Linked DNA regions of Schizosaccharomyces pombe. The gene in region 3 interacts genetically with the main gene of each other region. Each region holds a gene or a part of one and is shown on either strand. Other genes may lie near its edges. The genes, in order: dad4, utp16, ppk26 and alg6.

What was found.
Region 1: mutations in ppk26 (region 3) and dad4 together harm fitness more than expected from each alone (negative genetic interaction), as found in Schizosaccharomyces pombe (one large-scale study listed by BioGRID).
Region 2: mutations in ppk26 (region 3) and utp16 together harm fitness more than expected from each alone (negative genetic interaction), as found in Schizosaccharomyces pombe (one large-scale study listed by BioGRID).
Region 4: mutations in ppk26 (region 3) and alg6 impair growth when combined (synthetic growth defect), as found in Schizosaccharomyces pombe (one large-scale study listed by BioGRID).

The regions. Positions count from the first base shown.
Region 1 is NC_003423.3:4,001,158-4,008,251, reverse strand, and holds dad4 (DASH complex subunit Dad4), read left to right. Parts: upstream 1-1,869; 5' UTR 1,870-1,917; coding exon 1,918-2,022; intron 2,023-2,050; exon of another isoform or gene 2,051-2,081; coding exon 2,082-2,195; 3' UTR 2,196-2,223; coding exon of another isoform or gene 2,224-2,311; 3' UTR 2,312-2,386; coding exon of another isoform or gene 2,387-2,448; 3' UTR 2,449-2,612; coding exon of another isoform or gene 2,613-2,864; 3' UTR 2,865-2,969; coding exon of another isoform or gene 2,970-3,080; 3' UTR 3,081-3,126; downstream 3,127-7,094. Other genes in the region: TRAPP complex subunit Trs23, read right to left, coding at 1-68; cleavage and polyadenylation specificity factor complex subunit Ctf1, read left to right, coding at 225-255, 298-1,247, 1,285-1,395; SNARE protein Vti1, read right to left, coding at 2,224-2,311, 2,387-2,448, 2,613-2,864, 2,970-3,080, 3,127-3,232, 3,270-3,295; ESCRT II complex subunit Vps36, read right to left, coding at 3,537-4,940; mnh1 (protein mago nashi), read left to right, coding at 5,599-5,624, 5,671-5,708, 5,761-5,787, 5,860-5,913, 5,965-6,028, 6,071-6,158, 6,228-6,374; DNA-directed RNA polymerase I complex subunit Rpa43, read left to right, coding at 7,022-7,094.
Region 2 is NC_003423.3:3,648,040-3,654,968, reverse strand, and holds utp16 (U3 snoRNP-associated protein Utp16), read left to right. Parts: upstream 1-3,148; coding exon 3,149-3,186; intron 3,187-3,231; exon of another isoform or gene 3,232-3,252; coding exon 3,253-3,795; exon of another isoform or gene 3,796-3,939; coding exon 3,940-4,342; 3' UTR 4,343-4,608; downstream 4,609-6,929. Other genes in the region: CENP-H-like protein Fta3, read left to right, coding at 1-495; ubiquitin protease cofactor Nxt3, read right to left, coding at 1,174-2,289, 2,406-2,480, 2,549-2,662; karyopherin exportin-T Los1, read left to right, coding at 4,888-6,929. UniProt on the Schizosaccharomyces pombe protein: Functions as part of the small subunit (SSU) processome, first precursor of the small eukaryotic ribosomal subunit that coordinates the first two steps of ribosome biogenesis in transcription of the primary transcript pre-RNA and pre-18S processing.
Region 3 is NC_003423.3:2,763,689-2,771,822, forward strand, and holds ppk26 (PAN complex subunit Ppk26), read right to left. Parts: upstream 4,066-8,134; 5' UTR 4,003-4,065; coding exon 3,912-4,002; exon of another isoform or gene 3,864-3,911; coding exon 3,769-3,863; exon of another isoform or gene 3,751-3,768; intron 3,710-3,750; coding exon 3,669-3,709; intron 3,624-3,668; coding exon 3,467-3,623; intron 3,414-3,466; coding exon 3,318-3,413; intron 3,279-3,317; coding exon 3,134-3,278; intron 3,092-3,133; coding exon 2,942-3,091; intron 2,897-2,941; coding exon 2,786-2,896; intron 2,749-2,785; coding exon 2,523-2,748; intron 2,443-2,522; coding exon 1,911-2,442; exon of another isoform or gene 1,864-1,910; coding exon 1,786-1,863; exon of another isoform or gene 1,781-1,785; intron 1,680-1,780; coding exon 1,632-1,679; 3' UTR 1,581-1,631; downstream 1-1,580. Other genes in the region: mmp2 (endopeptidase catalytic subunit), read right to left, coding at 627-777, 845-994, 1,067-1,308; INCENP-like protein Pic1, read left to right, coding at 5,583-5,740, 5,784-8,134. UniProt on the Schizosaccharomyces pombe protein: Regulatory subunit of the poly(A)-nuclease (PAN) deadenylation complex, one of two cytoplasmic mRNA deadenylases involved in mRNA turnover. PAN specifically shortens poly(A) tails of RNA and the activity is stimulated by poly(A)-binding protein pab1.
Region 4 is NC_003423.3:4,195,451-4,203,764, forward strand, and holds alg6 (glucosyltransferase Alg6), read right to left. Parts: upstream 6,421-8,314; 5' UTR 6,253-6,420; coding exon 5,057-6,252; intron 5,009-5,056; coding exon 4,885-5,008; intron 4,827-4,884; coding exon 4,626-4,826; 3' UTR 4,298-4,625; downstream 1-4,297. Other genes in the region: Rho-type GTPase-activating protein Rga1, read left to right, coding at 845-4,297; glutaminyl--tRNA(Gln) ligase Qrs1, read left to right, coding at 7,967-8,314. UniProt on the Schizosaccharomyces pombe protein: Probable dolichyl pyrophosphate Man9GlcNAc2 alpha-1,3-glucosyltransferase that operates in the biosynthetic pathway of dolichol-linked oligosaccharides, the glycan precursors employed in protein asparagine (N)-glycosylation.

The DNA.
Region 1 (7,094 bases), 1.2 Mb from region 3:
GGTGATGAGCCAAACTCTCTTTGAAAAATCAATGAACCGGCTCTATTGATGATGATTAATGCATGCATAGGTATATGAGTATTAATGATATTTAAATAGATAAATATGAGTTGAAAATTAGCAGCCTTTCGCTGTGCGTAGGAACAAGCTTTGATTTAAGTAGTAGTAGTAGTAGTAGCAGTACGTTGGTTGAATGGGCAAAACCGAAAGACGCGACTACCAGCATGTCGATGACAGCCGGGAATGTCGTATTTGGTAATAATTCTTTAAATATTCGGTTTTGCTAATCTAATTTAGTTGGTAACATTCCATATGATGTTTCGGAACAGCAAATGACTGAAATCTTTAATCAAGTTGGACCAGTAAAGACTTTCAAACTTGTACTTGATCCGGAAACAGGTAGTGGGAAGGGTTATGGGTTTTGTGAGTTTTTTGATAGTGAGACTACCGCTATGGCTGTACGAAAGTTAAATAATTCCGAATTAGGACCTCGTAAGATTCGTGTCGAGTTTCCATCAAATGATCCCAGAAGGAATCAAAGTTATGAATATACGGAGCGTACTGATAGATACATGGAACAGCAAAATGCTCATGAAAGTTCTTATAATTCCCGTTTTATTCCTCCTGTTTTGCATTCAACATCTTCCCTGCCTGCTTCACAAGGAGGTGGGATGCCAAGTCCTGCTATTTATTCGTCGTCAATGGCTACTAATCTTAATAAAAATATAAATTCTACTTCTGTTCCTGCTTATAATTTTCACAACAGTATGACCTCCGACTTTGATTCTGCCAGTCAACCCCATACAGATGCATACAATGCAAGAACCTTTCAGTATAATAAATCTTCACAAAACAAAGGGGATTACACTTCCGGGACTTCTATATCGAATCCGACTTCTATCCCATTGGCCCCGTCTGTCGTTCAGGTACTATCTACCTTCTCAGCTCAGGAACTTCTCAATATGTTGTCCAAACTTCAGACTGTAGTTCATATAGCACCAGAAGAGGCACGACGACTTCTAATTGCTAATCCTGCTTTACCATACGCCGCCTTTCAAGCTATGTTGCTGATGAACTTAGTTGACGCAAATGTCTTACAACAAGTAGTAGTCGCAGTGAAGAATAAAAACATGCATCAACCAGCTTCAGCAACTTCCTCTCCTCCTTCTGTTCCCCAAAAAATACCTTCTAGTAACCATAAAAGTCAACAAGCGAATGGTTCAGATCAGGGCAATGAAGGGAAGCGGGTACGTTTTTTTTTTTTTTTTTGCACTAACAAAACAGATGGCCCTCATACAACAATTGTTGGCTCTTACCCCAGAGCAAATTAACGCATTACCTCCTGCACAAAGGGATCAAATTCTTAGCATTCGTCGGCAGCATTTTCGACAGTAAGTCTAATTTTAGTAATATCAAGAGATTAAATATTAGCATTTGACCAAGTACTTAAATTTGGTGTGCAAGATAATTTATTTACAACACTATAAACCATATCCTAGCACTGATACCTTTTCATACTACACACTTCTTTATACTATTCGGATGTTTTGCTTCTCATAAATATTTGTTTCTATACGCGTTATGGAGGGCTATTTCTTGGATCCTTTATTCAATATCCTTTTATAAAAATTTACTCAATCAATATTTCATATTAAAATTTATTATTTTTTATATTTTAAACTGCCCTTTTGATCGTAAATATATTATAAAAATGTAGGTGGTAACATCAACTGATACTTCTCAAATAAATATGCAACTCATAAATTCCCAAAAAGTTCAATTTCTTAAAAAAAATTTAGATCACAGGTTTAAAATTGTAGTTCAATTTTTCCAACTACGAAGTGTCAGCACTGGCTCATGCAAGCTTCCAAGTACAGACTACATAATTACAGTTTAGGAAATTGAAAACCATCGAAAATGAATAATCCTATGGAAGAACAGCAAAGCGCATTATTAGGAAGGATCATAAGTAATGTAGAAAAGCTGAATGAAAGTATTACAAGACTCAATCATTCATTACAGGTAAGATTACGACGTCAAATATTTGTGTACATATCAACTTTCCGCTGACATTCTTAAAGCTAATTAATATGTCTAATATGAATGTTGAGCTAGCTAGTCAAATGTGGGCGAATTATGCAAGAAACGTAAAATTCCACTTGGAAGAGACCCATACGCTTAAAGATCCCATCTAAAGTTATATGATGTTCTTTAATATTTGTGCTAACGAAATTTGCTATAAAGCACAAGCAAAATTAATATAACAAGGATTGCAATTATTGCTGTCGTGAAAAATCTGTTCATGGCAAGTCTTTAAAATGAGTTAGTATAAAAGATCATTACATGACGATTCATATCACTATAATAATGTCTATCTGTGTCCTACCTTCTTGCCATTGTCTTCAGAGTTCTTAAACTTCGATCAAGGTGTCCAGACGTATCTCCAAGCTAATTTGGTTAACAAATCTCAAAGAAATTTATACATAGCATAAAAGAAAACTATATTTTTAAACCATGGAGCTAATAAGCTTGGCTAAGATATGCGTATAAATCGCGCATTTTATCTTATCAATCATAGTGATTCATTTATCTATTTTGCAATAATTACTTACCATCTCTAAAGAATGCTCCAATTGATTTCTTTGACCATGAAGATCACGAAGAATGCTAGCACCAATGCCTTCAGTCTCATTCGCAATCCGTTGTGATTCAAGAAGACGCTGTGAAGATTGCTCAAGTCTATTTGTTCCTTGTAACAAACGAGTTCTTTGGTCATAATCTTGATCACTTGCAATATAATCACCGGATGTTTCATCCCTATTTCCAAAAAGGGCTTTCCTATCTGATTTGCCAATTTCTTCCTTCTAAACGAGAAAATTGTTAGTATGAATTTGGTAAATAAAAGTAGATTGTCTCATAGTAATTTCTGTAAAGCTTCAAAAGAAGAATGTTCGATATAGCTAACTTACCAGGTGTCTACGCCACTCCTCCAAAGTTGAACGATAACTACGAATTCTTCCATTTACGAGACCTCTTTCAGAAGTAGGGATACCGGTAATTTCAATTTCCATTTGACCAATCTGCAAGTTAGCCACTTTTTTAAAAACACAAATTATTCCAACATACTACTTCATCAATTTCATTTAAAAGTCTCTGACATGATTGAATAACAGAGTTCTCACCACTTTTACTTAAATCATTAAGTTTTTCTTCGATATCTGCTCGAAGCAAGCTAATTATTAGTAAACTTGTAATGGTATTAGACATACCGATATTCTTGCTCGTACGTCTCCATATTTAACAATTATTAATATTGATATATTAGATTTCTTGAAACTATCGTGTAAACAGTTTCTCAAATGAATTAAAAATAAAATAGGTGTAGGTTAAGATTAAATGGTTACGTTGGGAATCGAATACCCATAACAGGTAGTCATATTAATTAAGGCGTGTGTAGAGAGGAATCTACTAAAGCGAAAGAAAAATACAATGTTAAAAGGAATGAATATTAATTAGATAGTGTACAGTTATTATTCCTATGATTCATCAAACCATTTAGTCAATTCTTCTGATAATTCGTCAAATTCGTTTTTCCAGTATAGTAAGCTAGAACCAGATTCTTCATAAACATCACGTACAATGTAACCGTCCATCTCAGCTTGATAAAGTCTTTCTAACGTTACACCAATGGACCAATGCAACCTCATTGCACATTTCAAAGCCGTAGTGCTAGGATTCATAACTTCCAATATAGCGGACAAAAGTTTTCCTGAATGATTAGAAGTTTTTAATTGAAAAAGGATAAGCCCAGAGTTCATTTTGGACGTTGTTATACCAACCTCCATGGAATCTATTAGTTCACAAGCCTTCACAAATCTGGTCGGAGGAATCAGGTTTGCTTTTCTTGACCGATTATAGATGGCCCAAGCCTGGGTCATGGTAACCGTATCGGTATCAGCTTTTAACCTTGTGCGTAAAACTTCTGAGATACTTTTACATAGTTCAATATCATACAATCGAGAATTAGCCGAAACAGGAACATTATCTAAATGATTTCCTCGTAACACTCCTAACTGATTCGATTTGTTTAAAAGCTGCTGTACCTTGTCAGACTGTTGAGTGCCGGTCAGCCCATCCATCTTTTCAGCAAATTGGTCAGCCAGAGACATAGTATCTTTCGCTAAAGAAAAAAAAGCATCTAAATCTTGAAACGCATGTACTAAGGTACGTCCATTTTTGGCTAATTGCATCTCATGAGATTGCTCAAGATCATGAATACCACCCATTCGCAAAGACTTTTCAAGGATGGCCTTCCTCAGAACTTTAGTATCATATTTATTCGAGTATCTTTGTTTTTCTATTTCATCTGTTTCAGATTTGATAGCTTCGTAAAACTTGGATGAACCCGAGCCTCTAAACGAGAGTTGTATAAGCTGGTTTCTATCGACATTTTTTAATTGATTGCCGCAAATTTCACAAGTATTCAGATCCGGATAATTTTGAAAAGTACACGCGGTGCATAATCCTTGAGAAAAACGCGCATCTGATTTCGGCTTTATAATAGTAAATCGGTTAGCAACTCCACAGTTTCTACAAGGATTAATGGGATCACCCACATTGATAAATGTACAAATTTTGCAAGCCCATGACTTTTCCACATGTCGCAGAGAAAGGCGAATTTTTGGGGAGGAGCGAAAATACCTAGAGGTATGCTGTACATCTCTTATATCGGAGATTTTAATTTTTAATGAATTCTTTTTAGGATCTACTGAATCTACGTAGAAGATGTGTTTTTTTGTCAAATATAATGTTCCATTATTATGACGAAAACTTTTCTCATCTCCGAAGTATAAACCTACCTGGTCTTGAACTAGCAAAATTTCTTCTGAAGGATCCAAAACCGGTAGATTAGAAGGGGTTGTTTCTAAATAAAAGGCCATATTAGAAGGAGAGATTAACCAAAATGATAATTGTCAAGTGAATTAAAACTTATATAACATGTCATGTGCCTTGGTTAACTAGTCGAGACCAACAATTGATTTGAGATAATCTGTGAGTACGACTTTCGCTTTATTTAGCTACCTTTAAAAAAAATATTTTTGGATGACAGCTGTGAATGTCGATATATAAATAACATAAATGAAGCCTGTCAAAAGCTCGATTTAATATGTTACAATAAAAAAATCAAACCGTAGTCTTAATAAAAAACAACCCAAGGATCACAAACTAGCGATAAAAGATGCAACAGTGCCAGAATAACTTTTGTAAATGCAGTGAAATAAGTCGTGGAACGTTAAAAGGTCCCAGAAAAATAACTTGTCAAGATTTAACCTGAATTTGGAAAAAGCCTTTAAGGAATTAAAAGACTTTGATTTACAGATATAGACTTAGCAGTCAATATATAATGTCAACGAATTCATCAAAGATACACTGTATATTGAATTACCCACGAACTTTGATTGTCGAGCTCCAAAAATTGGATGCACTAGTGTATTGTGTTATTTAAAATAGTGAATCACTATATGCTTCGTATCTTTGACCAAGAGTTTACCTCTCAGCAGTAGTCATCGAAGCCATCATATTCCTATTTGCTCGAAAATGAGTGATTTTTATGTTCGATACTAGTATGCAAAAAAGCTGTAAATAGTTTTGAATGCTAACTGACTGAAGCTCGGGACACCATGGTCGATTCGGACACGAGTTCTTGGGTACGCGATAATATTAGACGCAAGGTCGCGCAGCTAACCAAACATTTGCTAGAATTCGATTATCATAGTGATGGGCTAGGTATGAATAGAGTCAACAATTTTCTGATTCATATTAGCAACAGTGGTTTGACATGAATACTAATTCAATTAGCTAGATACGCAAACAATTCTAACTATCGGAACGATTCGTTAATCCGAAAGGAGAGTATGTTTTAGTACTACATTTCTGTTCGATCGTATTAACAAAGCCTTAAAGTGTTCGTCAGTGAGCTTGTTTTAAAAGAAGTTCAACGTATTGTAGATGACAGTGAGATCATAAAGCAAGTCATTTCTTTCAATTTTTTATACTAACTACTATTTAGAGAATCAGATGAAAGTTGGCCACCTGAAAATAAAGATGGTAAGCAGGAACTTGAAATTCGTATGAATGGAAAACACATCATGTTTGAAGTAAGATTGCTCTTCATTTGGCATAAATATATTCATTCTAGATACTTTTAAGCTAATATAAACTACTAGACCTGTAAACTTGGAAGTTTGGCAGACGTTCAAAATAGTGATGATCCAGAAGGGCTAAAAGTTTTCTACTACCTAATTCAAGATTTAAAAGCATTGTGCTTTAGTCTCATCTCCCTAAATTTTAAGCTCCGACCTGTTAAAAACTAGATGCATTCCATTTTCTTATATATTAGGGCGAAAAAGTTTTATGTGAAACATTGGTTTACTATTTGGGTTTGATTACCTTTGTTTCGTTTCTAAATGTACAGTCTCAAAGCTGAAAAACGTTCGAGCTTTAGGAAGGAATTTCAGTTTTTATGCTAAATTAACCGTATTGCACTTTTAATTCCATATCATAAGCGGTTAAGAATTGACTATTTATTTGGGAACATCTTAGAATATGGCAACCATTCCATGGTAGTCGCGTTACAAAATCTTTTTTTCAATAAGATATCAAAAAAATCTTGAAATAATTTTAGCTATATTAAATAGACACTATTTGTATAGTAATGAGCGATTCACTTATTTTGTCTCAATAATATTCTTCATTTAAATAAGAGAAAAAAAAGGTAAAGTATTTCTTATTGTAATTAAAAAAAAAATTTCAATGTCTTGAGCACTGTAGTGACATGGTGTCATTTACAGAATTGGCATTTCTATTGATGCCATAGTATCGCCTATTTAGCTGTTAACCTTTCTCGAAGACATGATATGTTATATATGACCTTGGTTGATCAATTGAAGAGCTTTGTTTACCCTTGAACATATCTGTAAAACTGGATGCAGTCGATGAAGGAAATTTGCGTTCCGCCAACATGCCGGATTTATCACTCTACAAACAGACTGTAGATTTATACCTTTCCATTGCTCCTGGACACAGCAGGGATC
Region 2 (6,929 bases), 890 kb from region 3:
CTTTTTATGCAAACTTGTGGTGATAGTGTACAAGGAAATGCTGCCTTCTCAATCCTCAATTTCATGACTACTAATAGTTTAGTGGGACAACTATATCAGCGACTATATGATGAGTCTAATTCATTGGGCTTTATAAGTAGCCCTTTGAACGAGACAGAACATTTGTCGGAAGAAAATTTAAAAATCGAAAGCAGTATTACCTTCACTAGTGAAGAAATTGAGAAGGAAAAAGAAAATATTAAATCTGTATTACTTCCTTCAGTGCAATCTATTTCTTCTTCTTTAGAATTGTATGCGTCTAAAGAATCTGATTATAGAAGCTCAATTGAAGGTGTATTAGCTGACTTGAAGTTAGCGCGTGCCCGTTGGGAAATCGTTAGAAACGTGACACAAATACTTTTGCTCGAATCCGGCATTAGTTTCCTAGAGAACAAAAAACTTGCATATATCATGGATCTATGTGGTGATCGTGAAGACAATTATAGTTCCTATTAAAAGTCTTTATTTTGTTTGTGAACGAAAAATTTGGTATGTTTTTATGAATGTTATAAGCCCAGTGATGCTTTTTTGAATTTCTTCAACGGAGCCGTTTGTCTTATTGACATGCGATGTGGGACGATATTTGACATACTGAGGGCCAATCATTCATTTTTCTGACTTCATAATTTTTCTTACTAACCTTTAGAGTAAATGAATTCTTTATTATGAATATTTTTAATAAAAGCTCCTTTTTTACTCTTTGTAAAAATTTTAGAAACTAGAATACATAAAATTTTATTTAAAGGTACTCTAACAACAATAACGGATGTAAAGGAGAAAATTGGCGAAACCGTAAAAATAATAGATTTCTCTACAAAATGAAGTAGGGTTGGGCGTTATCGGTAAACTGAATCAAGCGGACAAACCACCGTTGTTTTTTTAAAAAAGGAAGGCTTATAATAGTCGGAGGTTTTTGGAATGAGACAATATAGAGGCGCTGATGTCAATTGTGAACATCATCAAAGGTATACTAATATATAGTAAATAGATTGTGAACAATCAAAAATTTTGCGAGCTCAGTAATTCTTTCTCCACAGTCGCAAGAAAACTGGCATCTGCTAATGTATAAAAAGTCAAGAGTCAATAGTATATACAAATCAGTTATAATTTAAAAACCGTATGGACAACAGACACTTAATTATTTTGCTTTTTAGAAGTAGTCACTTCTTTTGAACGACCGTCAAAAGCACCACGGTTACCTTTGCGAAAATTCCTTTTCATTCCATTATAATTATCGTTGGACTTCTTATCTCCCGATTTGTTGAATTTACCGGAAAAAAGACGGCGTCGTTCTTCTATGTTCAGCGTGGCATTGTTAATTTGCAAAGTTTTTTTGTTCAAAGCCAATTGCACGCATTCATGGTTGACAAAATCAACATATGCGGTGCCTTTGCGACGAGCAAACTCAATAGCCTTGACTGGTCCAAAAATGCTCATAGCAGATTTCAATGACACATCAGATGTTTCGGGAGGAATGTTCTTGACGAATACAGATGTCTCCAACAGTTCATTACTCTGAGTGTACGGCGCTGTTGGCTGCTGAGTTTGGTCAGCATTAACACCTTTAACTGTTTGACCAGTTGTAGACGCAGTAGAACTAACTGATGCTTGGGATTTCACATCAGGATGATTACGAGCTATGAGATCAGCCCAAGATTTAGGTGCTGTAGCAACATTTGCATCGCTAGCCCCTATAGCATCAGCATTCTTCGAGTTTGAAGTCAGAGCTTCATCTTGAAGCTGATTTTCCTGCTGAGAAACAAAACTTGGGACTGAGGCTTCCGTAACTTGGATAACGGGTTCTTCAGGAACAGCCAAAGTAGCTTGATTTAGACTGTCGGTCTCATTTGATATAAGAGCGGCTGTGGCAAAATTATTTTCTGTAGCAGCTGGATCCTGGTAATGGCCTTCTTCTTTTGCAGAAGGTAAATGTTCTTGAGATTGCACGCCATTTACGTAAGGTTCAGAAGCAACATCTTTTTTCTCTTTTTCAACAGCATCAGGTGACTCCTCTTCTTCCTCAACATCTTCACGCAAAAAACGGAAAATATCGTTTAAAACAAAATAACCATTTGGTTGTTCTGCAAGGAAAAATGTTTGAGCAAATTTTCTGGATAATTTCCCCTTATTAGACATTTCACCCAGGACCTGGATGACAATGCCACCATTCGAAGAAGCCAAACTGTCAACGTTTGAAATAAGTACTTTGCAATTTTGAAAGTCCAAGTCCAATATCTTGTTATGAATTTCCTAACACGTTAATAAAATGACTATTGGGCAAGACAACGATCATAGAGTTTCGAAAATCGCAAGCAGAATATCACAACCTCAAAAACTTTACATATAAGAATTGTGTTAAAGCATACCTGTTGTCCATGACAAAGACTAATACTCTCGCCTTCGTCTCCGTGAATTAAAGTTGACTTTTTAGTATAGAAACACTGTATTACAGTTAGTACGGTTCACAAGTTGAAGAAAAAAAAACTTTTGGTAAATTATGACGACCTACATGAAGACGATTGGGTTCTTTATTTAAATATGTATAATATTCTTGAACGAACATCCATCCTATCTCATCCTTTCCCAAAACTGGTTCTAATAATGTGGCATTTTCCGCAGTCATGTTTTATTTAACTGTGACAATAGCTATACAAAGAACAGAAAATCTGGCTCTAAAAGACCCAAAACAAAATTCGGTCGTGTCTTATGTTTTCCGTGCGTTGGTCTTTTTAATGTCCCATCTCCTTGCTTTCAATGTCCGTGATTACAGCATTTCGTAATTGGATTTAACGAGACTAAACGATATTTCTGTTGATCTTTTACATTCAACTTGTTCGCATAAGTAAGTTAGTTGATGGAAAGAGAGACCTTTTGGTCAGAAAATTGTTTGGTTTTTCATTTCAACAAATAACATAAACATCATATGATTTACCATAGATCAAAGTTGCATATATTTCTTTCTATTATTGTTTTGCAAATTGATTATATTAGAAACGTTAATTCATTGGAAACCACTAAACATTTTGAATAGTAATACGACTATATACTGTGCTAGAGAGATTAACCTGCTAATGATTTTGCCAAAAGTCAATTAGTTTAACAGCTTTAAATGCAATCGTCTAGAAAAATTATGATACTAAAAAGAAAGTATGCGAGCCTTTAAATCATTTAATTAACGAAAATTGAAATTACTTTCTTCTTCTTATTTACCAGCATTAAAGGGTTAAAATCTAGTGCTATAATTGCAACGTATCTTACTTTAAATAAATTATTTATTGATAAATTTTGTAAGACTCAGGAAAGTACCTATCCTATCCATTTTGTTCACTGCCATTTTGGTGGCATTAAGAAGTTTCACTCGCATTGCCAGTTATCCTCCTCCTACACCAATTCAGGTCAAAAAAGTTTCAAATCCTTTAATAGTCTTCGTTTTATAGTATTAAAATCCAAAACTTGTCTGTTAAGGTATAAACTTCTGATAAAGACATTTTGTTGCATTACTTATTCGAAAATTGAAAATTTGTCAAATACTAGAATGGCAAGATTGACTGCCCCAAGCAAAGGTCCTTCATTTTCAAATTTAAACAAACCAAATGATTTGTTGAAAGCGGAAATTGAAGATAATGAAGCCTCACACTACTCTCAAAATCAATCATCTGACAGTGATTCTGATGAAGCACCTGAAGAAGTTTCGCTGAAGAGCAGCAGCGATGAGGTAAAAAAGAGACTTCAACGTCTGAAAGGGAATGAATTACAGTAAGTTTTAATAAACGGAATGAGGGAAACACTTAAAAATACTATTTGTTTTGGTTTGAGACAGAATAATAATTTGTTTGATAAAAGTTCGACTGCTCATTTCGTTTCCTTGCTTTTGATAGTATTATTTTTAACACATTTTAGGCTTCGAAAAGCTGAAAGAGAAAAACGTAGACTGCAAAATGAAAGAAATCGTGAAAGAAATGCCCAACGGGTAAGCGCATCAAAGTTGGATTTGGCTATTCTTGAGGCAGCTGAAGTTGAAGAAATTAATAGTACCACGGAAATCGAAGAAAAGGTTGACGAAGCAAGCCTTGACCTATATACTCCAAAAGGACATAAAATTGTTTTTCCTAATAACGAAATTCCTAAAAAACGTACTCGTTCATTTCGTAAAGGTGATTTTAAAGTGAGCGTTCTTAAAGAAACAAATGACCCTTTACTAGCGCCGAACTATGAAAAGAAACTGTCACAGCGTAAACGGGATTGGATAAATCGACAATCAGTTCCCCGGGCGTCTAAAAGACGACGTCCCTTGACTTATTAATTTTCCTTTCTCTATTTGGCAACACATTCGCTGTAAATTGAAAGTCAGGCACAAGCATTGCATTTTCTGTTAATATAAGGGTTTACTTTTTTGTTTATTAATAATATTGGTTGGGAAAAGGTTGTCTGGGTTCTAAAACATTCATTATTTGAAGCTTTGGACATGCTAAGTGCAGTTTACGGCTGTTTTTTTGGTAAATGTTTAACATAGTATTTTTAAAAATAAACACTTTAGACAAACATGAGTTAATTAAAGTTGTATCAAGGATTTATTGCCATGCACTAGAGGAAATTCGCTCATGTAACGTTTCGTACATCATAGATATTATAGATATCAGTAGCTATAGCTCATAAGGCCAAAATTTGCATAAATATATTATTAATTGTCTAGTGTATGAACATTTACTACTTATAATTATAAAATATTTGCATATAAATTTCTGAGATGGTTTGTACTTTCGACTACTTGCACTAGGCAAACTTCGCTTTTTAGCACCACAAAAATTTTGTCACTTCAAAGCATTGTTGACCTTCACCTCTGCAGCCATGTCGGCCCAGGATGTCGAAAACGCAGTAGAAGCAGCATTAGATCCTTCTGTAGGACCAATAATAAAGCAACAAGCTACAGATTTTATTGGTAGCCTTAGAAGCTCATCTACAGGTTGGAAAATATGCCATGAAATTTTTAGTGAAAAAACGAAATATAAACCATCAACAAGACTGATTTGCCTTCAAACTCTTAGTGAGAAAGTTAGAGAATGGAACAATGAAAGCAATTTGTTAGAGTTACAGATGATAAGAGACAGTGTTTGGTCTTATATTAAGGAATTAAGCTTTTTGGATGAACCAGCTTATATTAGTAATGCTGTACAACATTTATTGACATTATTGTTTCTTCAACTATATCCAAGCAACTGGAATGATTTTTTTGCTTCACTCCAAGGCGTTATTGCGGCGTCGTCTCAATCTGAGTTTTCAAATTTTTATTTGAAGGTTTTACTTTCCATCGGCGATGAGATTGCTGATTCATTGGTTTTAAAGACAGATGTTCAAATTCAAAAAGATAATTTAGTAAAAGATGCAATTAGGGCAAATGATATGTCTGATATCGTTTCATTCGTCTATGAAATGATGTTGGCCTATAGTAATGCTAAAAACTATGGCACGGTTGGATTGTGCCTTCAAGTATATGCACAGTGGGTATCTTGGATCAATATAAATTTGATAGTTAATGAACCGTGTATGAACTTGTTATACTCTTTCCTTCAAATTGAAGAATTACGTTGCGCTGCATGCGAGACAATGACCGAAATTGTGAATAAGAAAATGAAGCCACTTGAGAAACTTAATCTGCTCAATATTCTTAACCTGAATTTGTTCTTTTCAAAGTCGCAGGAACAATCCACTGATCCTAACTTCGACGAACATGTCGCCAAGTTAATAAATGCACAGGGTGTTGAACTTGTCGCTATAAAATCCGATCCTTCAGAACTTAGTCCAGAGTTGAAAGAAAATTGCTCATTTCAGCTCTACAATCTTTTTCCATACCTTATCAGATATCTTTCTGATGATTATGATGAAACCTCGACAGCAGTTTTCCCCTTTTTGTCCGACTTACTTGTCTCACTTAGGAAAGAATCTTCTTCCAAAGAACTTAGTGCTTCTTTAAAAGAATTTCTTAAATCTCTGCTAGAAGCTATTATAAAGAAAATGAAATATGATGAATCACAGGAGTGGGATGACGATCCTGATAGCGAGGAAGAGGCCGAATTCCAAGAAATGCGTAAAAAATTAAAGATTTTTCAAGATACCATTAACTCTATTGATTCTAGTCTATTTTCTTCGTACATGTATTCTGCTATAACTTCTAGTTTATCTACTGCTGCTACATTATCTCCTGAAAATTCATGGCAGCTTATTGAGTTTGCGCTATATGAAACCTATATTTTTGGTGAAGGATTGCGGGGTCCCGATGCATTTTTTAATGAAGTTGATAAATCTCCGACTGTTCTTTCTCAAATACTAGCATTAGTTACCACTTCACAAGTTTGCCGACATCCTCATCCGTTAGTTCAGCTTCTGTACATGGAAATATTAGTACGATACGCTAGTTTCTTCGATTACGAATCTGCGGCTATTCCCGCTTTAATAGAATACTTTGTTGGGCCCAGAGGAATACATAACACAAATGAACGTGTTCGTCCAAGAGCATGGTATCTGTTTTATCGATTTGTTAAAAGCATTAAGAAACAAGTTGTAAATTATACTGAATCATCTCTCGCCATGCTTGGTGATCTATTAAATATAAGTGTTTCTCCCGTTACTGATATGGATGCGCCAGTACCGACATTAAATTCCTCCATAAGAAATAGTGATTTTAACTCTCAGCTCTATTTATTTGAGACTGTTGGTGTCTTAATTTCTTCAGGTAACTTAACTCCAGAAGAACAAGCTCTTTACTGTGATTCACTTATAAATGCACTTATCGGAAAAGCAAATGCTGCTCTTTCCAGTGATTTGTCGGCTTTAGAGAACATTATTTCCGTTTATTGTTCGCTGATGGCTATCGGTAATTTTGCTAAAGGATT
Region 3 (8,134 bases):
AGAAGACTCGAGCTCCTCACCACTTGGTTTGTTTAAGAGATTGTGAATTCCTTTCTTTTTCAAATAAATAGAAGTAATTTTTTCGGATTTCGTGTTATACACAAATTCGCTCTGGGAAGGTTCACGCAGCTGTATACATTTGGTACGGCGTTAGACCGTATTCGAAGTAACGATATATGAGGCTTCCTAAGGAAAACAAAGGACTACTTCAATGTTCGTTTCTTCTGGGGGTTTTATTTAAAGGCTACTTAGAAATGGAATTCTTTCTCATTTCAAATACCCTGTTGAAAAATTTCCAACTTTGCTATACTCAACGACTTTACTGTTTCGGGATATGCAAAAGAGACGGATTTTTCAGTCAATTCTAATTTTCCCTAAATAAAAGTTTTGATGTTGAGTATGAAAAAATTATATTTTTTTATTGGTATTTCTAATACAAAGTAGCTTCCAACTTCCATCTTTTTCAAATAGGTAAATAGATAGACATATTAATGACGTCATATATAGAACGCGACGCGTCGAAATAAATTAAATTTAAGGATAACGTGTTCCTTAAAAGAAATGTAAATAAGCACCAACCAGCATGGAACTAAACTGTCAAGGAAACAGGTTCACTGTGGTGCAGCTTACTTAACAGAACGTTTTCCACTTAAAAACACTGCATTCTTTCGGAAACCTTCATGATCAATACGCCCTGCACGAGAGAAGGGAAACAAAATTGCAATCACTTTGGCAGTGATGAGTCCTGTCGATACTGGGCCAAATTTGTTACTATCACTGTAAACTAGTTAATATCTCTATAGAAGAAAACGAAAAAGTAAAAAAACAATTGTTGGAAACCTACATAGAATGAAATTGTTCATCGCCTTCGACCCACACATGTCCCTCGGGAACGGGTACTAATGACAACTTTTTAGGAGGTCTCGTTTTCATGATATCGTATTCTACTCCTAGAACTCTTTTTACCAATAGTTCCTCTGGGTTTTCTGGAGAGCTTGTTGCTTATTAGTAACGATAAAAAGGGAAACTCAGTACCGAAAGACCCTGCAACGATCCAAGAACTTACCGTAGTATAACTACATCTCCTCTTTTGTAATCCTTATTCCATTTCCAAAGTAGTACCCTATCTCTCTGCAGCATGTTTGTCTCAGGGTTAAAGGCTGGTTTCATAGATCTACCTTCAATTGTACCGACGCTGACTACATGTTGTTCAACGAACATTAATACGGGTACCCATAGGGTAATTCCGACTAAATTTTTAAAAAATACTGATTTAAAAGATTGATTTCGAACGAAAGGGTTTGCCATTTTTTGAGGACAACTGCTAAACTCTCTCCTCTAAGAAGTTTATGATTAACCGTCTGTATGTACCTTAACAAGCATGGGAGTTTCCGTAATTAATAATTAAACCAGGAAAACGTATTAATGAATTTTATCTGATAAGTGTCAGGCTTCTATTCCTGATCGTTTTTGTTTCAATACGGTGTGTTGCAGTAGGTAATTCAAAACCACATTAAGCTTAGCTTCCTTCTAATATTATTATAGCGAAAACTATTATTTACTTAAATTAACAACCATGGTAATAGATACAAAAAAACAAATAAATATTCTGTAAAGAAAAATGTTTTATTTTAAGAATTTATTTCCATTTCGTAAACGTTGTCCAACCAAGCTTTTAGCTACATTTGTTATTGTTAGTAATTTTGCAAACAAACAGGCTATATAGTGTGGAAAAGTAGTCTAATTTACTAAGCACCCACTATGGCTTTTTGAGCAAATACTTACCTCCCCATAAGAAACTGAAACACAATCAAGTTCATCTCGGGAAATTAATGCGATGGCTTGATTTATACCGGCATCAAGCTAATGAATTAATAAATGCAATAATGAGAAAAATGTAAAAAACTTACCTTTCCCAGGCGATTCAGCACTTGATATAAATCTATCACAGGACACTCATCTTCATCTATCTGATGGAAAAGATAATCTCGTAATAAGTAGATTAATGAAATTTCTTTTTCTCGTGCGATAGGATATTCACGAGAAGCTCTATTATTATCAATAATAAACATAATCTTGCACAAAATATTAAAAAATCGACCGTGTTGGAAAGCGTCCGAAATTTTTCTCTCCATTTTTTCGCATTCCACGTATGGTGAACTCATTATAGGGAAAAAACTTTCTATGTGATTTTGCAAAAACAACTCCAAGTTTTTATCCTCAGGAACTTCCGATACAAAGTATAAAACCGCTTTATAAAATTCCCTCGAATATGTACTATAAATTGCTCGTGCGGCTGAAGACATGTCCATATCAGTTCTTCCAGTAGCTAAATTCGCAATCACAACTCCAAGATCTACAAAATCCTGCTTCTTTCGTTCCTCTAATGGAGGCTTGTTTGACACTACCAATTCATAGTCAGCGCAACCACTAATACGAATCCTTTACACGTTAGTATAAGTCATTAATGAATTAAAGAAATGTATTCCATCAAAACATAAAAAATGTTCAAAAAAAAATACCTTTCAGTTTGATCCACAAGGATTCTCGACGGAGTAAGCTTGTTGCAAGCAAACCCGGATTTATGTAGATATGACAAAGCGATAGTAAGCTGGAAAAAATAATTCCATAACTCTCGTTCTGGAATTTTTCTATTTTCCTCCAACTTGACAGAATTTTTAGAATTGTTTAGGTAGAGCTCACCAAGGGTTGTAGTACACGGATAAAAATCATAAATTAATAGTAACGCTTGATTAATTAGTAAGGTTTAGTAAAATAAACTTACAAGAATCATGAAATGTATCAGTATGAAAAGCAGAATGGAATGGTACGATATTTGGATGAAAAACATTTTTAAGCTTGTCGACAGTCGACGTATCAATATTAATTGAACAGTCTTTTAAATATATTAGCAATTGCAATTTATGAATCTGAAGGTTACCTTGGAGTCGTTTCAAAACGTAAGCATTCCCATCGATGGAAGAAGTGCATTTGTACGTCCAAGAAGAGAATCCAATTTGCTCTTTATACCGATAAAGCTTTGTATTCAGTGGCGCCAAAGAAGTATATGAAGATATAATAGACGGAAGCGCTAAAATATTAGTATAAAGGAAGCTAGACACAAATTAAGTACCTGAAATTGTCTGACGGGATGCCTCGCTCTTTCTCTCGATTCTTTCTCTAGTCGTATCATCAATAAATAGACCGTTTACAGTTCTTTCATAAGGAAGTAAAGTTGGCATGGGAGAAGGTTGCGGATTATATAAATTGTACAATGTCTGTTGTTGTCAACAACAATAATAAGGCTTTAGACTTACGGGTTTAAACTGGTTTTGACGAGTATAATAAACCCCAGAGTCATCATGAAAAGGCTCATTGACCAACATAGATGCATTATTGTAAGGATTAATAGCCTAAAATTACAGTAAAATTAGTAAGAAAAATATAAGCTGTTAGCCAGACATACATGACTACCTGGTGAAAGCGCAACAGGGGTACGCTCTCTAGATAGAAAAAGAGATTTTTCTTGTGATTTAGGAACAAATACTGCAGCGCCAGCAGCCTTTACTGGTAAAGCGCGAACAGGTTGAAAAGAGGCCGACGCAGCATTCAGTTTTTTCTTACTAGCGAGGTTAATTATACGTACAAAGCCTTAAAAAAAATCATACACTGAGTATTGCTCCAAATTCTCTGAAGAAGGGATGAAAGGCTACAAACAATCGTAAGCAAGAAGCTTCTCTGAAGTTAAGAGAATACGCCTATACTTACACCATCATGTCGAAAAGCACATCCATTTTCTGAATGCTTACAGGATCCATAAAGTAAGATATTTCTACATAATGTTCGTTTAGCTTTGGAATGGTCTATTAAAAATGGTGGTCAGTCAAGTTTTGCTTTGAATTTCCATTTACCTTTCAAATCAGTCACTGACGGAGACCTGGAACTCTCCCTAGAACGGGAAGTTGGCTTTGGGCTTGCAGGAGAATTCTTCCTCACACTCATCCTGTCAATTTCCAGGCAATCCCAAGCTAACAGTCTGAGATTATAGCAATTTAGTTACAGGTCGTGGAATCAGTAAGTCCCGGACAATACTAATAATGCAGCACAACGAAGTTTACTGTAATACTTTGCAACGCTACATTTTGTTTATATAACAATTTCATAGTAGTAATATTTAAGCATTTGAGAAGACAGTAATTCTAATTTATTTTTTATCTGTTCTTTACATGTAACGGGCAGTAACTATTTCGAAAACTTTAACAATAGCAAGTGTTATGTAGCAGTTGAACATGTCTTCGTAATGCTGCTATCTTTCTGCGATCACTGTAATTTAATTGCAAATCATAAAACCAAAGTAACTGAATTTTTTTTATCTTAACTTCTTCCTTAGTGCCAACTTTTGCGAATTGTTTCAAATGCAAAGCTATGTTTTTCAAGCAATTCGGCCTCCCATATATAGCCATTGCAAGTAAGAAAACTTAGTTCGCAGTTATAAATTCCCTATAGAAACTAACAGCTTGCCAAATTCACACTCCCCTGTTTTGCTATAAAATGCAATAAAAAATTACTGAAAGGGGTGGGACTCGAACCCACGAGCTTTCGCACTAGTGCCTTAAACTAGCTCCATAACCACTCGGACACCCTTCCTTTTTTGATCTGTCAGACAAAAAAGTATATATTATTTATTTAATTAATTAAAGAAATTTTAGGAATTCAGAAAAATATTTAAATTGCTAAAAAGAATAATAACAGACTGTCAATTATAAAAGCATATTTATTACCCTATTCTCTTTACATTGTCCTCTAAAACAGAGTAAGGAATGAAAAGTCTAATTGAGTTAAAATAGCTCAAAATGAAAAGAGAACGGTGAATTTTGTATTGAATAAGCTTTTAATTTTTTGAGAATGGTTACCCATGTTTTAATACATTCTTGAAAACTTAAAGACAAGTGTATGATATTTGGCATTTATCTCTGTCTGATTGGAAAAATTATTTTTAAAAGCTATGGCAAGTATGTGAACAAAAAATGGAGAAAATGCGTGAATATTGTAGATCGAATCATTAAAAAAATCCAATAAATGACAAGCGTATAAAGCATGACAAATTGCTTGTAGCCGTTCAATAGAAACTTTTATGTCTGTGCCGCTTGCTATATACTAAACATAAACAAATGGTGAAAGATATTTGAACACAAACTAGTTAACTCTGTCTGCTGATCAAACGAACGATAGGTTGCATGCATTGGGTTGCTTATTCCACTCAATAATTACTGCAATAAAATCAGCATCGGCATCTCGAAAAAATGTATGGCTTAAAGTGTTACTTCGTTAAAAACCTCTTCGTCGTTAACCGATGTCTATATTCCTAACAATTGTTTATAACATCGGAACTTGATATTTACATTTAAATCTTGAAAACAATAAACCTTTTGATCATTTGTAAATTGGGAAAGCATAATTGTTTATAAATTTAGTTGGAAGCTTAGGTATACAACTACTGTTGTATATTGTTGACATTTGATTGCTTCCACCACCGACCACTCTCCAGCAACTAGCTCATTCTTTATATGTAACCAAACAGGATGGGCTCTAATGGGTCAGAACTATGGTTTAATAAGGAGTTGGAATACTCCCAACAACTCACTAATGGAAAAATGAAAGAATTCTTCTTCCTTGTATCTGAAACCATGGACTGGTTGAATGAACACATGCTTGAAGTTTCCAAGTTACAGCTAGAGTCGTACGCATTTGTTGTTTATCATATGTGCTAATTAGATGGTTAGGGATATATATGAATTAGTGAGAACACCTACCAAGATAAAGGAGAAGTACTCCACTCCTCGTTTAAGTCCTGTACATCGATGTGCGTTACCAACGCCTCGCATGCGGTTAACATCTATTCAACATCAGCTTGAGGAAGCTGCTGTTGAAGGATATAAGTCGGGTGAATCCAATACAGTCAAGGAACCTAAAGAATTACATACTGCTACTAATACAGAAACCCAATTTGATGATGATAGGGATTCTACTAAGCTATCTTCTGAATATGTCAAAGATGATATAGTTAATAAATCTACTAAAGGTGGTGTATCTCCTATTAAAGAAACGAGATTGCCGACTAATTTGCCAGCTTTTAGTCCTACTTCAGTAGAGCGTCGTTTTACTGAATGGAACGTTCCTCTTCGTGAAACTTCGCCTTCCCCATCAGAAACTGCTGACAGTCCTAATAAATTACCAAAGCAAAAGCACCCCGCTTATTCTTTTGTCACTTTACCTAAACGTGAAGAGATTTTGAAAAGACCTGCATCATTACACAGTCGTGTGGAATCAACTAATTCATTTATAAATCAGTTAAATCGCCGGCGTACTAAAGACAACTTAACGAATAATCCTGAAATTTCATTAGATGAACCTATCAAGGCACTACCTTCAACTACTTCTGATGCTCCTTCTTCTTTGTTAAATACCAATGTGTCCTCTAGTCCTTCTAAATTTCGAAAATTCCTTTCATCAGTCATCCCCGCCAAGACAGATTTATCAGCCAAGGAATCGCTCACGTCGTCTACTAGGTTATCGACTTCTTACAAAACTCGTAAAAGAAGTTCAGGAGTCGCCTTCTCTTCTGAAACTGTTACTTCTTCTTCCAAGGAAAGAAAAAGGTCTGTCGAAAATGAAATGCTTAAACCTCATCCAACTATTTTTGAATCCCCTCCCGAAATTACTTCCTTCGATAAATCCAACGCAGTAGAAGCTGAGGCATTAACGGCCAAATTAAAATCCAATGAAGAGAGACTACCTGTATCTTCTCAACCTGGAAGTGATGCCAAAAGTCAAGAGTTTGACTTTTTTGAAGCCAAAATTCCCGATTCTATTGCTAAATTGAACGAGCTAACTGCCTCCAATGAAAACCACTATGAACTGAAAACTTATGATCGTGCCGAACGATTAAGGCAGAAAATACAAGAAGTAAGTTCTAATAAAAGATTAATTCCTTCGACTCCGCCCACGAAGAAACCGATTAATGCAGTTTTAGATGCTGCTAAAAACTCTGCAGCTAAGGATTTGCACCTTGCTAAAATGAAGCTGAATAATAAAAACGACGAGTCTTCCTTAAGCCCTGCAAAAAGTCATGCTGTAATCACTCAAGCGCCTAAGATCCCCCTGATAAGCACATTCACAAGGCTTTCAACCAGAAAGTCGTCAAATGATTTTAATTCTTCAAATTCTAGACCAAGCTCAAACGCTTTGAAATCGGATGCAAACGAAAATACGGACTCTTCTTTGCCGCCTTCCAAGAAGGAATTTATTGAAAAATCTCTGCACAAGTTATCTGAACCATTGCATGATGATTCTCGTCAAAATTCTGATCACAACTTTGCTCCGCATTCACGTCCGATTGCAATTCGTGTGGCCACAGCCTCTCAACGCGAACTTGAGCAAACTGAAAAGCGAAAAGCAAAAAATGGAGCAGCAAATGCTTCAAATATGGAAAGCCGCTCTTCTGAAAACGAAACTCATCGCTTCAAAAAGTTCTATGGTAAAGAACGAGAGTTATCAAACAACGAATTTCCAAGTCGTCAGACCAAAACTGTCACATCAGCCAATTCATCTAACATTAGGGATATGGAACATACTATTTCCGATAAACCTCGTTCTGAACCAGATGCTATACCATCAAGTAAAAGCATGCACTCAAATAAGCCATTTGAGGAAAAATCAGAAAAACCAACGACCAAAAGACTTGTTACTAACCCATCAAATGTGAATGCTTCATGGCATTCAAATATGTTAAAAAGACAAGAAGATTTACGAAAGAAGAAACCGTTAACCGACAACGGTGCAACTTCAAGGCATATGCTAAAATCTGGGTTAACACGCGTCACGTCGAAACCCACTCAAAGGTTTGCGAATGAGCTAGCTGAGGACATGTCATTGGCATTTCATTCAACTATTCCAAAAAAAATGGAGCCTGACTCAGTTACTTCTGTAACTCAGCCTTCTGTTGGTAGTTTGAGAAACAACTTCGATATAGGGACCACTAATAGTCAGAATGAAGATCGAAAAAAGAAGATAGCTGCACAAAAAAATAAGAATCCCGTACATGGTAATGTCGGTCTTACGAATCAACATGGAT
Region 4 (8,314 bases), 1.4 Mb from region 3:
AAATAAAAATAAAAAATTCTGCATGTATTTTTAAGATAATGTATTAAGTGATTTGAGTTTTTATAAACTCCATTTATTTTATCTGAATTCAACCCTACTGAACTTGCAAGACGTACGTAGTCTGGGAAACACAGTGGGAAAGTACTTAAATACTTTTTGGGAAACTTGAACAGGTAGTTAAAATCAAAGTCACTCATATTGTCTATGATAATTTCAAACATCTATAAGGACTCTTGTTATAACATAGACTTCGTAAATGTGTAAAAGCCTTAGCATGAGCAGCGAGCAGCTCTAGTATAATAGTCGTTGTAAAATTCAGTGCCTAAACCTACACCTAAGAATAACTATCCAAAAGGAGCATAAAGTGTAGCATTAAAGAGAGATAAAACAAAAATACAGATTATTCTCTAAACGAAGATCTAAAGTCATTTTCGGGGTGTGTACTGAAATCGGTTTCCCAAATGACTTCATGTCTTAGTCGCTATAAAAATTAGGGTCTATTTTGGCCCCTATATCAAGCTGGAGTTTAGCATTTCTGACTTGGATTCCATGGTGTGCAGTCTCCTCTTAGGTGGAAGTCGGACCAACAACCACCAACATACCGCAACAATAGTTAGTCTCTGAAAAAAAATAGCTTCAAAAGCTATAGGCTTAGTTATTTGAGGTCTTACATATTATTAATTTCACTCTTTTAAAAACTGAAGGAATTGAGTCCCATAAGGTTTTCTTGGGGGTGATTTTCGAACGGAAATATCCCAAAGAGGATTAACTAGTCATACTGGTTTATTAAGTGATAAAGGCGTTTAATATAGAAGCTAAGGTTCGTTCAAACAGCAAGGACAGTATGTCCCAAAGGGACGCCAAAAAAGATGGGTTGCTGTACACAACGAATGGTGTATCACCAACACCACCGAAACGAATTCCTGTTCCTTCCCGTCAAAATAAGATAGAAGAGAATTCTACAACGAAGAATTTCCCCCATTCTCGACATACAAGCACTGTTGCTGGTACTGAGGGTGGCAGCTCACTTTCTCGGAGGCATACCTCTGCTGAGTCTCGAAAAGCGTTGCCTAATCAGCAACAATTAGCCCAATCTGGTTTGCTTAATAAAGAGGAGCAGCAAAGTCTAAAGCGATCAGATACTTCTGTATTTCCTAAGGCTGTAAGGAAAGTTTCTTCATCAAAGATATGTGCTTCATGTGGACAAGTTATATCCGGACAATATGTACGTGCTCTTGGAAATATATATCACTTAGAATGTTTTCGATGCCATGATTGTAATTCTTTAGTTGCTTCAAAATTTTTTCCTATTGATGATCCCACTCTTAACAAGCAAGTGCCTTTATGTGAAACAGATTATTTTCGGCGGCTTGACTTACTTTGTGCAAGTTGTGGAATGGCCCTTCGAGGTTATTATATTACAGCTTTGAATAAAAAATTTCATATAGAACATTTCACTTGTTCCTTATGTTACACTGTTTTTGGTCCGAATGATTCTTACTATGAATATGAGGGCAAAGTGTATTGTCATTATCATTATTCAACACTTTTCGCTGCACGATGTTGCGGTTGTGATGGTCCAATTTTAAGGCAATTTGTTGAAGTTTACAGAAATGGGGTATCTCAAAATTGGCACGTTCCTTGTCATATGATCTACAAGTTTTGGAATGTTAAACTTTGTCAAAAGACATCCATAGAAACTTCTAAAAAGAAGGATTCTGAGCTTTCTCAATCACAATTACGCAAACGGGAAAAACATTTAGAACAGAAAATATTTCATATTTGGCATGCACTCTCTTATTTTGAGGAGTATACAGCTTCGTGTATCAGTGATATGCTTCTCCTTGTTTCAAATGGAGAATTCACAAAAAGTGTTATTTGTGCCCAAAAATTTATTCGTTATATCGAGATACTTTTTAAAGGCATTGATTCGCTAGAAACTATACTTTCAAGTTTTCATGCTAAAAGTATGCCTTATGTTCGTGAAGCTAAGTTGCTTTGCAAGAAGCTAGTTTCAATATTTGCTTTACTTGCTAAATGCCATAATTCGGATATTCGCGACGTTGCTATTGTTCAAGACTTTTTATCACTCTTTACCGGTTTAGCTCATTACCTCAAGTTACTTATTCGGATATCGCTTACGGGAGGTTTACGACTAGAACAAGATCATGCTTGTAAGCATGCTCTTCCCCAGTTTTTACAGACCGTAGAAGAAGCTCGATTTGTCGATCAAGAAGGATATGATAGTTCTTCGTTTGATATGCCTTTAAATTTGGCCAATGCCAGCTCCGATTTATGCTATGTGTGTCATTCTGCCTTGGAGGAAGACTGTGTTCTCCTGGGTGAAATTCGCTGCCATATTGGCTGTTTGTCATGTACTAAATGTAAATACAACAATCGGGAGAATTACGATTGGGCGCGCTGGAACAACCAAACGAAACAAATAGAATGTTATTTATGTTATACTGAATCATCCAACGTTAGTAACGACGAACCTCATCCGTCTTTTGAGTATGTGAGCAGGCTTTCTCAATATATTTACTTGCTACGTATTGCCTTGGTTCGATTATATACTATACTTATGGAGAATAACGACTCATCACAGCGAAAGCCGTTATCTGTTGATCCAAAACAAGAGAATGTATCCAGTACTGTTGAAACAGCGAAACAAGCCGAGACTACTGCCAGTTCAGACAGTTTTCGTAAGTATGCCAATACTCTTAATGATTTGCGACATCTTAAGTCTTCCCGCAATCGTAAGGCCACCTCAAATGAAACCCAGTCCTCAAGCAATTCTACCGAAACATCTAAATTATCAAAGAATGTGTCAGAGTCTGGAAAAGACAAAAGTCCCCATTGGCATTCTCATGGTGGTTCTATTACTGGAAAAAGCATAGTTGAGCAAGCATCTAGTCCTTTGGAAAGAAGGATGGATGCCTTTGATGAAAATCGTGCTTTTACTCTTGATGATATTCCTAAAGTCATTTCAGAACAAAGAAACAGGGAACACCGACCAAATGCATTTAGGCATATGCCCAGTTATACTGATCCTTCCTATCGAAAGAATTCTGGGGCGATTTATGATAAAAATGATGGTACGCAAAAGGGTTTGACTCCTAAATCAGAAGATGCTCCTATTCGTTATCTCTCAGATCTTTCTAATTTAGAATTATTATTTACCAAGCACGTAGCTGTATTAATATTGCACCCTCTTGTACGGGATTATTATTCACTTGATGAATTGATGGAAATGAGCGATTTGCGCAAAGGTGGTTTCTGGGAAAAATTTGGAAAGGCTTTCAAGGGGAAAGATGCCGAAAAAAAGAACGTGAAAAAGAAAGGTACCTTTGGGGTGCCATTGGAGATTCTTGTTGAGCGTAATAACGCTCAGTCGACGGTTGGAACAGGCGTGGGTGTCAAGCATATTCCTGCCTTTATTGGGAATACATTGGCTGCTATGAAAAGAAAAGATATGTCAGTAGTTGGTGTATTTAGAAAGAACGGAAATATACGTAGGTTAAAAGAGCTATCTGACATGCTCGATGTTTCTCCGGATTCAATTGATTATGAGCAAGAAACACCCATTCAGTTGGCTGCTTTATTGAAAAAATTCCTTAGAGAGCTTCCTGATCCTCTTTTAACTTTCAAGTTATTTGGGTTGTTCATTACGTCTTCAAAGTTGGAGTCTGAGGAAGAACGCATGAGGGTTTTGCATCTTACAATATGTTTACTACCCAAGGGACATAGAGACACTATGGAGGTAATTTTTGGCTTTCTATATTGGGTTGCCTCTTTTTCCCACATCGATGATGAGGTGGGAAGCAAAATGGATATTCATAATCTTGCTACCGTAATTACTCCGAACATATTATATTCCAAAAGCAACGATCCTGTTGACGAAAGTTTCCTTGCCATCGAGGCTGTTCATCTGTTGATTGAGAACTTTGAGAAATTTTGTGAAGTCCCTCGAGAAATTAGTCTTTTATTAGATGATCCTACTCTTTTTTATAATAATGCGGCTTGGACATCTAAAGAACTATATAAAAGGTGTGAAGAAATAATTTCTCAGATGAGTCTTGACGAACGGAATACTCCAAAACATACGGCGTCTACAAAGAGGAAAAGGCAACCTATAAGAAGAGTTACAACTAATTTAACGTCAGACGTGCCTTCTGGTTCTGAAGTTGCTGACACAAATTCGCTTTCATCTACCACTAAAGATGAAGCTTCACCTAACAGCGATGCTCAGCCTAAACCTCAAGTTAAACCTCAGCATGCAGTCATTAGGGATTCCTAATTTATCGATACACAATCCCATTTGTCTTTTTTTGTTTTATCATATTTTCAATTTTTACTGAACATTAGATCAGCTACGAAAGTAGAAAGCTCGGTCTGGTACCGCTTACAACTTTGTCGTGTTGAATTCGATGGGATGATGGTACTTTAATAATCGTTCTTTTAATAAAAGGTTACTTGGCTAAAATAATATTTCAGGCAAATATAACTTTCGTTTAATATTTGAAGTCATGAATAACAATCCTTCTCCCAGAATTGTTTTAATAAAATCCTTTACTATATGTTGATTTTTCCGCGTAATAATGTAACATAAAATCATTTTGTTCAATTTATGCTTCTTTTTTGTTACGCAAATCAGTAGAAAGTTTACTTGAAATGTGTAGCAAGCGACCAAGAGTCCATAAGTAAATAGTAAAAAATCCGGCAAATGAAAGCGTAACATTAAGAATGACCCATAAATCGGGGTAACGGGATGGTGGTGGGATAAACAGATCAATTCCCAAAATAACAATCATACCAACATAAAAAGACTGCATCCAGTTAATACACCTGGCATAAAAAAATAGCAAATAATAAAAATAGTCTTACCAGTTGGATGAACCGAAAAAGGACGTTTTTTGAGAAAACTACCATGTCACCAATCCAATTCCACATTAATACTAATGTGAAGTATTGTAAACCAAGACCATCTTTTTTCAGTAACGGCCATAAGCTAATAAAAATATTAGTATAATTTAAACAGTAAATATGTATATTTTACCTGAAAACAGCAAGATTGTTTGCTAGAGCAATCCATGGTTTGGTTGTAATGTTTCCGTGACATAAGAGAATAGAAGTGGGAAGTAAAGGAAGAAGAACCGACTTTTCATGAACTTGGAAAGAGAACAAAAAAAACCCCCATGATGCACTTGCGAAACCCAGAGCTAAAAGACGTTTACGAGGATAAAGAAATAATATAACACAAGATGGGAGAATAGAAATGAGAGTAAAAATCAAGCTAATTACTTGGAGTTGATGTAAAGTAAACACCTCTCTAATTTTGAAAACAGTGTTGAGGGTGCACCAGAAATTAGCAACTTTATCTTCCCAAAGACCACGAGCAAACGGGAACACTCGATGAAGAATTTGAGGAAGCAATGTTTTATAGTCCATGTAAATCCATGGAAATAATATTAAGGAAAACGTAAAAACAACTGTGACTGACAACAAGATAAATCTTGAGAAACGAATCTTTGGCTTTACACAAGTTCCCAATAAGTAAAAAAAAATAGGAGGAGCAAAATATAGAGCCATCTGTTTAAACGTAAGAGCTAAACAGAAAAAAAACGTAGCAGCTACATATTGGTTTTTAAGCAAATTAGCGATTGCATACATAACTAAACCCAGCATAACACAGTTGTACTGAAAATGACCATGATCAATTAAGAGTAAAGCAGGTTGAAAAAGGACCATAATTAGGCTAGCATTTCTGTCCACAAAATTAGGTATACGGCGCGACCACCATTTGGAGTAAAACATTAAAGGGGGAACGAGTATTAGAAGATGAGATGCAATAACAGTAGATCTCATGAATAATTTTAATTCAAGACTTTCAAATCCACGAGATGTGACATCAGCAAACCATTCGGGGTTGAAAAAATAATGCCCAATTATACCAAAGAACCAAGAAACATATGCTGTTAAAGGAGGATAATCTAATCCCCACCATTGCAAATCTCTAAAATACCATTGAGACACAGGAGTATGCAATGTTAGTTCCATCCAATGTCTTTGCGCTTCAAAATCGCCATACATAGGAGGTGTATTATACCCAGAATAAGGACCGATAGATATAAGCCATTGCATGAAAACTAAACTCATTATAAGGCATGGAAAAAATAAAAATTTAGATGAATAGGATCGAAAACGAGAAACGAATTGTTGAACGGGAGCCCCATTCTCAAACTCAGATAGCATGTTTTAAGCGGCCGTCAAACGGTAAGGATTTCGCTTTAAAACTTTGGGTTTCTAAATTAAAATATCCAACTTGGAAAGCTTAAAGATTAAAAAACGAGTGAATTTGTATCCGGAATGTTTTAAACAAGGAAAAGCTAATTCAAAGCAGATACAAGTTGGGATAACAGTGAAATGGGTTGGGAACCACGAAGTGGACTATGGGTCCACCATTGCGATCATCGTGAAATATGGTTTTATAATGTCCAAAAAAATCAATTCACTTTTTAATTCATTCTTTCTTTCTTATTTTTTATTTTCAGTTTCAAAGCCTAAAAATTAAATACGCGCAAAGTTATCACTACATAATTGATCCAAGGGTGAGCAATAACATAAAAAATGAGTTGATAAACATGAAAATTAAGCTGTATCACTTATTGACTGATTTACTTTTCTCTTAAGATAGGTAAATGTTAGAATAAATTGAGCTTGGCAAGTTAGGAGTTTGTTTCAGTGATACTAGCCCATTAAATTCAATGAACTGAAATATATTACTTAATTGTTTGCTGTTTAATAATTTAGCTCTAACGAAAATCTTATTAGCAAAGAACATGCTAAGAAAAATAATTCCCTTAATACATTTACTATGTAATTGATCTCGAATTTGTAGCTGCAATTAAGAGCTTTGAAATTTTAAAAGTCTTTTCGTTCATGATAATTTCTAAAGAAAACCCTTGTTGGGCTAAAAAAAAAAGCGACGGTTTGACGAAAAATCATGCTTTTAAAACCAGAATTCATAATAATATTGTAAAATTATTTCTTGGTCTGTTACAGTTTTAAGTAAAAGCAAGCATTATCCTAATATTTTCTTTTTGCGTTGATGGAACACTGTGAAATCTCCATTATTTGTATAATTTTAAGCGATATTTACTAATCATATGTTTAGTTTAATTTTTTGTAAAACGATTTGAAATAGAAACTGAAGTTGTATAGTTACTAACATTATTTGCATTCTCGCATTGTTTGTATATTGTTTACTCTTCAGAATAATTTCAATATTTATGCTTAAGCTAAATGAAATATTTTCAAGGACTCACAAATAGTTATTTATATATTTTATGAAAATTTAAAACCTAATTAGATTAAATTTAATTAAAATACCCAAAAGTACATTCGTTTGAGAAGAGATACCAGATTGAATGAATAAAAACATACTAACTGCTTGGCGGGCAAATGAAATTCATTTGTACACTACAGTGGTTGATGCTGTTTTTAAAATCTAAACTTTTATAGCAATAAAGAATCATCCTCCCTTGAGTATTAAAGTGAAAGCAAAAAAGCCTTACTAGGCAAGAGCTTAGAACCGATAAACAACTATTCATTTAAAGGAAAAAAACAAAGATTCGGAAAGCATTTTGCGTTCTCTATTTTTTTAAAAAAAATTAAAAATATCTCAAAAGCGCAAAAGTGTGAATTCCTGTTTTAATTTTCAAACCGTAAACAAAATGTTTTAAATTTTAATTTAATACTGAAACTACTTTTATTAACTTAACGATTTTTAAGATTAGTTCCCTACTCCGCTGTTATGCAGATTAACGCAATGATAGGAGCTTATCACATGAATTGAAAGATAATAACAGCTTTATTAAAAACTTAACCGTACCCTCTCATTTTTCATCGCGTTTGCTGTTATTGCAATACTTATACATTTTTTGGAGGGAAGTTTTATTATACTAAAATGGACCAGGATTATGAGGAGTTACGTGCCAAGTTTACAAAAATAGGATTAAATGAAACAACGGTAAAAGATACGTTAAAAAATAAAAAGCTTTCTTCTTCATTAAATAAGGTCATTGAGGAAACTAACGTTGGTTCTTCGGGATGTGATAGAACAATTGGAAATTTGCTATTTACATTGGCCAACGCTTCTTTAAAACAAAAAGACCCGAAATCCAATGCTCATGAGGCATTCATAGCTTCCAAAATTGTATCTGGAGACTTAAAAACAAACCTCCAAGTCAATGCGGCTATTACCTATTGCAAGGACAAAGACACGATCGACGAATCTGAGTTCGATAAAGAAACT